Drosophila melanogaster: one gene and its partner. The protein of the gene in region 1 purifies or fractionates together with the protein of each later gene. This does not show direct contact. Each region holds a gene or a part of one and is shown on either strand. Other genes may lie near its edges.

What was found.
Region 2: the proteins of corn (region 1) and betaTub56D fractionate together in Drosophila melanogaster (co-fractionation; one study listed by BioGRID). This does not show direct contact.

Annotation. Positions count from the first base shown.
Region 1 is NT_037436.4:7,154,069-7,159,064, reverse strand, and holds the start of corn (cornetto), read left to right. Parts: upstream 1-1,991; 5' UTR 1,992-3,129; intron 3,130-4,996. Other genes in the region: CG8620 (uncharacterized protein), read right to left, coding at 255-818.
Region 2 is NT_033778.4:19,446,714-19,451,799, reverse strand, and holds betaTub56D (beta-Tubulin at 56D), read left to right. Parts: upstream 1-2,200; 5' UTR 2,201-2,389; coding exon 2,390-2,473; intron 2,474-3,053; coding exon 3,054-4,340; 3' UTR 4,341-4,481; downstream 4,482-5,086. UniProt on the Drosophila melanogaster protein: Tubulin is the major constituent of microtubules, a cylinder consisting of laterally associated linear protofilaments composed of alpha- and beta-tubulin heterodimers.

The DNA of each region.
Region 1 (4,996 bases):
TTCACAACTTTGGTAAATATGAATGCTAAATTAAATCAGCATTTCATCAACGAATGTAACTTATTATCTTGAATACCTGAACAGTATGTATTATTTGCACCCAAAATAAAGATAAGCCCACCCTCCATTAAAAAGAATTCATTTGAATATTTTTTTCATATTTTATATATTTTATTATTTTTTTTTTTTTGGTTTTTTTATGCGCACTTAATATATAAAATGAATATTGAATAATACTGAATGAAGCCAGATACTCACACTGAAATCCGAACGGGCAGAGCCAGGGGTAGTGCTCGAGATCGTCGGGAATCGGTGTAGGACCTGGAACGAGAACGCCCATGAGAACGACCACGCGAGTGACCACGGGAGCGACCGCGAGACCGGGAACGATCCCGCTTGCGGTCATCTCGCGTGTGTCTTCTCCGCGGCATGTGCCCCTCCTTCTCCGCCAGGATCAGCTCGCAGTCACTGTGGTCGGAACTGGAACTGGAAGATGAGCTAGTGTGATGACTATGACTATGATGTTTGCGTCCTCTGTGTCGTCGTTTACCTCCATCGGAGCTGCGGTGCTTGGACTTGGTCTCCTTGATGGAGAGTTGAGATTCCTGCTGCTGCTGCTTCTGGATCTGTTTCATCACATCGTTCAGCATTTTCTGGGCCATGTTGGCCTTTCGAATGAGACGCTCCATCGACGGCAAGGCCATGTCCTCGACTTCCACGGGCGTGGCATTTGGCAATTGGCCGCGGCATCCTTGACATGCATCCGGCCCTGCATTTGCCGCAGTTTGCTCACGTGCCACGTTATCGGATTGCGACATTTTTGCACTAGTTTACAACTGACCCGATAAGAAATTCACTCAACACTTTAATTACTGATTAACTACTGTTTCTCTGAACTGGATATAACTGCTGCGGAATCTGTTGCTTATGTTTCGACTGCTTCACTTGAACACTTGAATTTGACTGGCTTCTGCGGCATTCGGTCGATGAGCTTTTATAGGCAACTTTGGCGCCAAGCTAATCGCGACTTTCGGACTGTAAACATTTGCCTTTCTTTATCAGTCACATACTCATACAAACCACACGATAAATGTGACGTCATCTGAGCTATTTTTAACCAAATCGCATTCATGGGTTTTTGGGAAATTACTTCCATTGATCACGTGTTTTTAATGTTACATAATTTCATTGCCGAACGTAACCTCAAACATATTTCATATTTTTGCGAAATTCTTCTTACTTTTGTATTTCTGCATATTATATGCATTATAAATATTCTGCGTATTTTTATAAGCATACCTTTTATTATTTTTTACGATTTTGTGAAATATGACATTATTTTGATATAATTTTAATTTTGAATTTCGTCCAAGTGTGTAATTTTAAAACAATTATTTTATCGTTTTAAATCATCGAAAATTTTAAGAATATAAAGTATTAAGAAATTTACACAATTTTTTGAAAATGTTTTGGGATCTTAATAATTGCATAAATCAGGTTTAGCACATTATTTTAGAAATACTAAACGGTTAAATATTTTACAGAACTGCTATTTAATTTTAAGGTATAAGACTACGTATAAGACATTACCGCTTGAGACTAGTATTTTTATTGTGGTATTTTCATGATTGCTTTTGAATTGTGCCCGCCAAAATATGCAGTCTTAACCACAAGCGGTTAAAATCATTCCTTACGTTTACTTATATTTAAAAATCGACAAAAGGTATAATAATTCAAAACTATTAAAAAATTTTAAATAAAACTAAACGAGTCTAAGTTTTCTTAATCAAAATAGCTGTTAATATGGATAAGATATATTTGGCGCATCCAATAGATACATTTAACCGCTGAAGAGAATTAACAGTGTGATACGCCAGACTGTTAACAGACTGTTAAAACGCGATTTCCCGGCTTTGGTATTTTTACATTACCATCATTTGGTTTCTCTGATATTTTAAAAATCTATATAAGCAGCTCGCAACGCATTCTCTCTGTAATTTTTCGGGAGAGCGCAGCAGCGCGCGCTGTTTTTTCGGTTACCATTAAAAAATATTATTAAAGAAACATCGTTATAACTTTAATGCCAACGGAGTTGCGGCAATTGAAACTGATTTTTTAAGCAAACGAACAATAAATTCGACGTGGAGTGTGCTTCTGCTCGCCTACATGAAGTAATAGCGATGTATATTATGATTTAGTAAATATAAATCGATTTAATTAATATTTAAACTTGTTGTTTTCCGCGAGTGGGCGCGTTTTGTTACCAAGCCGCTATACGATTTTCGTTTTTCCGACTTTCCTGCGCGCCGAACGGGTTTTTCAACGAAGCCTTGCTGTCTTTTTCCTCGTAAGCAGCAAAAACAAGGCTGAAAAACTAAATTAAAGCGACTCGCTTCAGCTGCAGATTAATCGATGTGCGGCTATAGACTTTTAATTCGCAGATTCATCATCGATTTTTCCTTTGGGCTCAGCTGCAGTGCGCTAGTGTACGTGTATGTGCGTGTGTGTGAGTTGGTCCTGACAATACAAATAAGCCGTTGTGTTAGGTAAACGGAACAACAAAAGGAAGTGAACCAGAGAGAGAAAGAGAGAGAGGAAACGGCAGGACGATACCGAGTCCTTGAGCGATCATTCATGCTCTTCTTCTTCTCCAGCTGCAGCTGTCACGAAATTTCGCGCGTGCACGTGTATGTGTGTGTGTGGGAGACAGGGAGAACGCCGAAGTTAGTAATTTCTCTCCACTTCTCAGTGTTTGTGCATTCAATTTGCACAAAATTGAAGCGACGCGCTAAATTCGCAAATTTCCGTCCGCGAATTGCCATCCATTATTTTGCACTCCCCCCCAAGAGAGCGAGAGCAATAATAGAATTATCAGGCAAAGCAAAAAAAAAAATCAAAACTCAAGCGAAAAGAGAATGCCCTGGGAGGCCGTAATACCAATACCGCGACCCTCTGACATTTCCATCGTCGCCCACCAAAGGAACAACAACTGAGCGACAAAGACAGCAACAATCCGACAAACAAACAAACAAAACAGCAAACGAGCGAATCAACGAACGAAACTCCAGCAGCAGCCTCAACCTCCTCAACCGCTGGCACAGTTTTCCTCCTTCAACTCCAGCTCCGTGGGTGAGTAGCTACAGTGGAACGCCACTAAGTAGAACATTCTGCGAGTTCTAAGTTAAATTGCAGAGAATATCGCTTTGAGCACAAACTGATTAGAAATTGCCTTCACTTGGTCTTAGAAAGTTTACTAATACCAACTGATACATCGTTTTTTTGTTTGTTAATGTCAGTTTTAAATTGAAATCGATTAACAAATCTTAATGTCCTTTTTATATTTTTTTATAATGGATGTGGGATATGGGGGAAAGGCAAATGGCTCTTACGTGTAAAATTTTATAGTTTTTCCATAGCATTTAAGTACAATTAATTTTCTTTACGAAGAAAATGAAAGTTTTGCTTATGTAACAAGCCAAATTTAAGCAAATATTTTGTTTTTTGTATCAGGATAAAAGTTAAGCTTACCCAATCTCCACTGTAACTCATTGGCGGGTAGAAAGTGGTTATCGAATATGAGCTGCGTCTTATGTTGAAGCCACATCGTCGTGTGGGCGAGAGGGTGGTTGTGGTGGGTCAGAGGTGTGTTGGCGTCGTGCGGCTTTGGTTTTTAGCTGAAATTAAAAAGGTCAGGACCGCCGGACTGAGGGGCTTCCGGATTTTGTATCCTAGCCACGTAGTCCGCTTCATTATGCAGCGTTAACTTTGTATGTAAAAGCGTATATACGTATGTACATATGTACATACATATATGGATGTGGCAAGCGGTGAATATAATTTCAGTTGCATGACTTCGGCGATAATCGATTTTGAAGCGACGAAGCAATCAGGAAGAGTGCAATTTAATGTCAGTCCGTCACTCAGTCAGTCAAACAGTCACAACTTGACACACTGCAAAAAGTTATGCTGCAAAATGGAGGTCAGCATGACGTTTTTGCATTAAAGATACAAAGGGAAATGTAGCAAAAACCAAACTTTTTGCTTAAAAAGTTTGGTAATACTTAATGTTTGCATGGATTTAGGCAAGCAATTGCGTTTTAAGTTTACTTAGAAAAGTATATACATTTGTCAAGTAAATAGTATCAATGTGCTCAATCGATTCCCATTTCCTTGAATTAATAATTGGTATATGCTACCATTTTTCCGGCCTGCTTAAATGGCGTTTACCATATTCATAAGCGCCCCGGTTGATGGAGCAGCGGACATGTTAGCCGTTACTCCATAATGCGACAACTTGGCGACTTGAAGTGGGGGATGTCGTAATGGAGAGTGAGCTGAGGAAATCGCTAATTAAGCATCAATTAGTGCAGTTTCCGGTGCAAGAGCCGCTAGAAGCAAGCAAGCCACCGTTCTTGTACTTTCCACTCGTCGAACAAATCGTGTGACACATTTCGCTTTCCCACACACCAATTGGCGATAGGAGTTATCAGCACTTTTCAGCTTTAGCACTTCTTACCACTTTGGCTGGCCTGCCCCCTATCCCAAAAGATAATAACACATTGCATTTTCAATGTGTTTCCCCTGATATACATATACAAATGTGCCCGATTAGCGGGTATCTCAATAACAATGGCCGTAATTTATGATAAACAAGTTTTTGAAGTGTGCGAAATTTAGCAGCTCACTGATTTGAGCCTGTTTTTGGCGACACACCACACTCCGCTTGGTACCCCTTGTTCAAATGTTGCATTGTTTATAATCAGTAACGGACTCATAAGCGAACACATGTCTGGGTTGGTTTTCAAGGTCAGTTGAATGGCCAGATTCGCCTCGTTTGTGATTTGGCAACCCCATGGAAACACGATAAACGAGGGCAAACAGAGCTGAATTCAAGCTGCAGCCTCATCATCTCGTCTTTCTCCAGACAATGGCCATTCGGCTATACCATTTCAGAGGTTTATGCCTTGAGAGAACGCTTCTGGAGACGAAAACCCGG
Region 2 (5,086 bases), on another chromosome or scaffold:
CCTTTTAATACATTTTTCAACATAGCTACTATCTTTCGATTAAACTTTGTATTTATTTCATTGACATTAATTAAAACTTAATGTTATGTCAGGCAAGTGGGATGTTTTAGCACACTAAAACGGGATTTGCGTTTTATTCGTTTTCATGTAGTATGGCCACACTGCGGCCATCGTATAAAAGCCCGCGCTCTCCAAAGCGAATGCACTAATTTTTCCAAGTGTGTGAAGCGGACAGTTTGTGTTGTGTTCGACTGCTATAAGCGAAAGATAATTTTAAGTTAAAAGTTCAAAAGCCTAAAACAAATACAAAATGAGGGAAATCGTTCACATCCAAGCTGGTCAGTGCGGCAACCAAATCGGCGCCAAGGTAAGTTTTCCCATTTGCATTTTCCATTCATTTTCCATCCAGAGTACAGTTGCCAAAATGGCGTCATTTTTGCACGACTTCGCTGTCCATGTGGCAAAAATTTGTATTGAGGCCGGCATTTTCACACTCACACATTTGCATTTATGTATACCAAGTTGTGTGCGTGTGTGTGTCGAGTGGTCTTTTTGAGTCCCGGCATCTGTGTTTGTATATACCGCATATTTGTCCGATTTCGCAAAGATGCTTGAAAATTGTTGTTCTACTCTGGCATTTGGGGTCCAAAATTTAGAACGAAAGTTTGTTACGCCCGAATTTCCGATCGATATAATGCTTTAGGGCCATTGACATTCGCATATGTACTTCGTGCCCATATGTATGTACATATGTAAGTAATTATAGTTGGGTGTGTCTGCAATTACACCGACGCTGGTGGCTGTGTGTATGCCTGTGTGCGTGTTGCATGCATGAGTCATTTTCTCTTGGGCGAAAGACTTTCATAGTTTTTCACCGGTTGTGAAAGCCATTTCACTGCCCAGATGGTGAAGGGTACTTTTCTATCGTCAAAACACGATAGCTTTTCTACACGCACATAAGAGCTTGCTGCTCATTTGTATGTGTGAGCGTCGGCCGGTTTTTTCATTTAATTTTTTTTTTTTTGCCGCTATGCGTCTTCTAAAGAGAAAACATGACGTCATTTTAACCTAAAATGGCTGAACCGGTCGTCGTTGAACGGTTCGCAGAACGTATAAGAGTTGATCTTATACGTAGATGGGATATAAGTATGTAGATATATGTGTTCGTAGGCTGCATTAGCTGTTCTATTGATTTTCATGCATTCCACACTCTGCTCCCTACTTAAAATTGCGCTACTTCGGCGGCTTCTCTATCTTATCATGGAATGAAACAATTTTCTATTTTTTATTCATGACTATAGTATAGACAGATTTCGGTTCTCTTTCGGCCATTATGTGCCAAAATGAAACTTTACTTTTAGCAGTAGGAATTGGGAGTCTGCAAGGTGAGATGATGACCTTATATAGAGGAATTTGCCATCTGTTTGTCTCTATCCCAGTTTCCTCTCGCACACAAAAAGCAACGAAACCGAGAAGGGCGGTGCTGCACATGCGTGTGGGATAACGGGGCACAGGACACGAAGGTGATGTTGATGATGACGAATCTTTCTAGTCCTTGCCCGAAAAATCAATACCCACATGCTGGGCATGGGCCCATGAGCCGAAAACAACCCTCGGAAACGCCTTAAAACCCGAGCAGCTGCAACATCAGAATTGTTGTGCCCAAGTATGGCTCTCAATATCTCTCTCTCTCGCTTTCGACCCGACCGGCTTACAAATGTGTATTTCTATATTTATATATACACTTTATATACATAGAATCCGGTATGACGGTGTCATTTCGCTAAACGAGTGTCAACCACGCATTTCCTCCAATACCAGTGTAGCGACTTATTTCGGTTAATTGTTTTTATTTGTTTACGCGACATAAACAACGACCATCGCAAAAAGTTCAGGTGACGTAATGCCCTGAAAAACAGACGATTTATGCGCCAGATGGTCGGTAGTTGGAGCACTGAGCTGCAGTTTTAACCTCTCAGCAAACAGACAACGCCAACGCCTCTCTCCAACTGGTACCCACTGCTCCTCCCACTCCTCCTCCGTTTCCCTCTTGCAGAGACGAGAGTGGGTCGCGAGACCCGAACAACCGGTGATGTAAGCCGCATCGGAAGCAGGGGGGCTTTTTGGGGTGGCAGAGCCCGGCTCTGAGGTCGCCGGCATTGCGTGGGGGCAGCACGTAGACATATAGACAGACAGACAGATAGTAGTTATACAGCTCAGTTCCAGCCCACGCCCGAAGATTCGAGTAAGATCGGTCGGCGGAACGCAATGACAGCTGCGCCTCGAGATCCGAAACGAAAACCCACGCCAGATGACGTTATCGTTGGTGTGGCGATGGTGCTGCTGGTCGTGGTGGTGGAAACGCACCAAAAATGGCAGCGAATAAGTTATGTTAATCGGAGCTCGGCCCATACACAGAGTTTATGATGGCGTACATGGGTGGCCTAAACCACGTAGCCGAGCCCAGACATGTGTATGTACATCGGCTGCTTCTTGTGCCCATTTATTCCAATCAATAAAGAGTTATATATAGACTGACTTTCCATAACCCATCACACATTTTGTTCGAGAAGGTTTCTGTATCGAAGTTATCTGTATAAGTTAAGAGAAAAACAAGAAAATAAGATTGCCTTTCACATGCATCAACTTTCACTGGGTATGGAAGAAAAATTTTAAGCAAATTACTTGCAGAATTGGAAATGAGTTTCAGTGATTAGTAAAAGTTTTCTTCAACTGCAGTACTCTTGTGCAAATAAAAGTTACCGTTGCTTAAGCATAAACTTCTTTTGTGATTTATGTGAAGCAGTCAAATAAATACTAGCTGTATATATGTATGCAGCAGATGGTCTAGGCTTTGAGTAATTTTACTACCATTGATTTTCTGTGATGACTCATTGGCCAAGTCATTCATACATTTTCTTAAGACTGAGTTAGAAAACACCCCCTAGTAATCGATTTTCCTGCTGACTCATGTTCACAAGAAATGCTGTACAGCACCTGCAAGTCCTAATCGCACTAATCCCAAATTCTTTACTTCCATTTCTCATTTGCAGTTCTGGGAGATCATCTCCGATGAGCATGGCATCGATGCCACCGGCGCCTACCACGGTGACAGCGACCTGCAGCTGGAGCGCATCAATGTGTACTACAATGAGGCGTCCGGTGGCAAGTACGTGCCCCGCGCTGTCCTTGTCGATCTGGAGCCCGGCACCATGGACTCTGTGCGATCGGGACCTTTCGGCCAGATCTTCAGGCCCGACAACTTTGTGTTCGGCCAGTCGGGTGCCGGCAACAACTGGGCCAAGGGTCATTACACAGAGGGTGCTGAGCTGGTGGACTCAGTGCTCGATGTTGTCCGCAAGGAGGCCGAATCCTGCGACTGCCTGCAAGGCTTCCAACTCACACACTCCCTTGGCGGCGGCACTGGCTCCGGTATGGGAACCCTGCTGATTTCCAAGATCCGCGAGGAGTACCCCGACAGGATCATGAACACATACTCGGTTGTGCCGTCGCCCAAGGTGTCGGACACCGTTGTGGAGCCCTACAACGCCACCCTGTCGGTGCACCAGCTGGTCGAGAACACGGACGAGACCTACTGCATCGACAACGAGGCTCTCTACGATATCTGCTTCCGCACCCTCAAGCTGACGACACCCACATACGGTGACCTGAACCATCTTGTCTCCCTGACCATGTCCGGCGTAACCACCTGCCTCCGATTCCCCGGCCAACTGAACGCTGATCTCCGCAAGCTGGCCGTCAACATGGTGCCCTTCCCACGTCTTCACTTCTTCATGCCCGGCTTCGCTCCCCTGACCTCCCGAGGATCCCAGCAGTACCGCGCCCTCACCGTGCCCGAGCTGACCCAGCAGATGTTCGATGCCAAGAACATGATGGCCGCCTGCGACCCACGCCACGGACGCTACCTTACCGTCGCCGCCATCTTCCGTGGACGCATGTCCATGAAGGAGGTCGACGAGCAGATGCTGAACATCCAGAACAAGAACAGCTCCTACTTCGTCGAATGGATCCCCAACAACGTGAAGACCGCCGTGTGCGACATCCCGCCCCGTGGTCTGAAGATGTCCGCCACCTTCATCGGCAACTCCACTGCCATCCAGGAGCTGTTCAAGCGCATCTCCGAGCAGTTCACCGCTATGTTCAGGCGCAAGGCTTTCTTGCATTGGTACACCGGCGAGGGCATGGACGAGATGGAGTTCACCGAGGCCGAGAGCAACATGAACGATCTGGTGTCCGAGTACCAGCAGTACCAGGAGGCCACCGCCGACGAGGACGCCGAGTTCGAGGAGGAGCAGGAGGCTGAGGTCGACGAGAACTAAATTCGAATCGGAAATCAATCGAATTCTCGATCAATGTTTTGCGAAAAAAAATGAAACGAGAACAAATGAATTCAGTTGTAAAAGATTTGTTCTCTTAACAACGTAATCAATAAAGTCGGATCCAATTTTGTTCACAAGTCTAAACAATTATGGTTTTTGTTGGGGTTTCTTATAATTAATAAGAGAGATATCAATCATTTTACGAGGATTATGAGACTGCGTTTTGTAGTCCAAGAAAGCTGATTAATGTTTAGAGTGTTGGTATAAATGTTAATAGGCTCATTAATGTAGGTTTTGACAAAAGCGAGGTATTTGTACATTTTCTCATTGTATTATTTGGATTCACAAATTTATGTTTATTTAATCGGGTTTCTCCCAGCTAAAAACAATAGAAATCTTTTCACCGGCTGTGTTTGTTTTGGACATGGTTATGTTGTGATGATTGATAATTTCATTCACATTAGTTTATTTATAGACCTTTTTTATTTATTGACAATGATTTGCCCTACCTACCTCAACTTTCGAGCAAATGCTGCATAAACAAAAGTAATTCGCCCTTGAAGAGGACATGACATGATATTTTCAGCGTAGGAAGTGGGCCTACGTACCATTGTGGTTCAGACGGCCTTGTATGCAATAAATCTAATTAATATATATATATATATATATTATGGTAGTCTTAACGCTACGGTTTCCCACACGCGATTTTCATGAAGCTGGAGTGTAAGTTTTTTGTTTTTATTCAA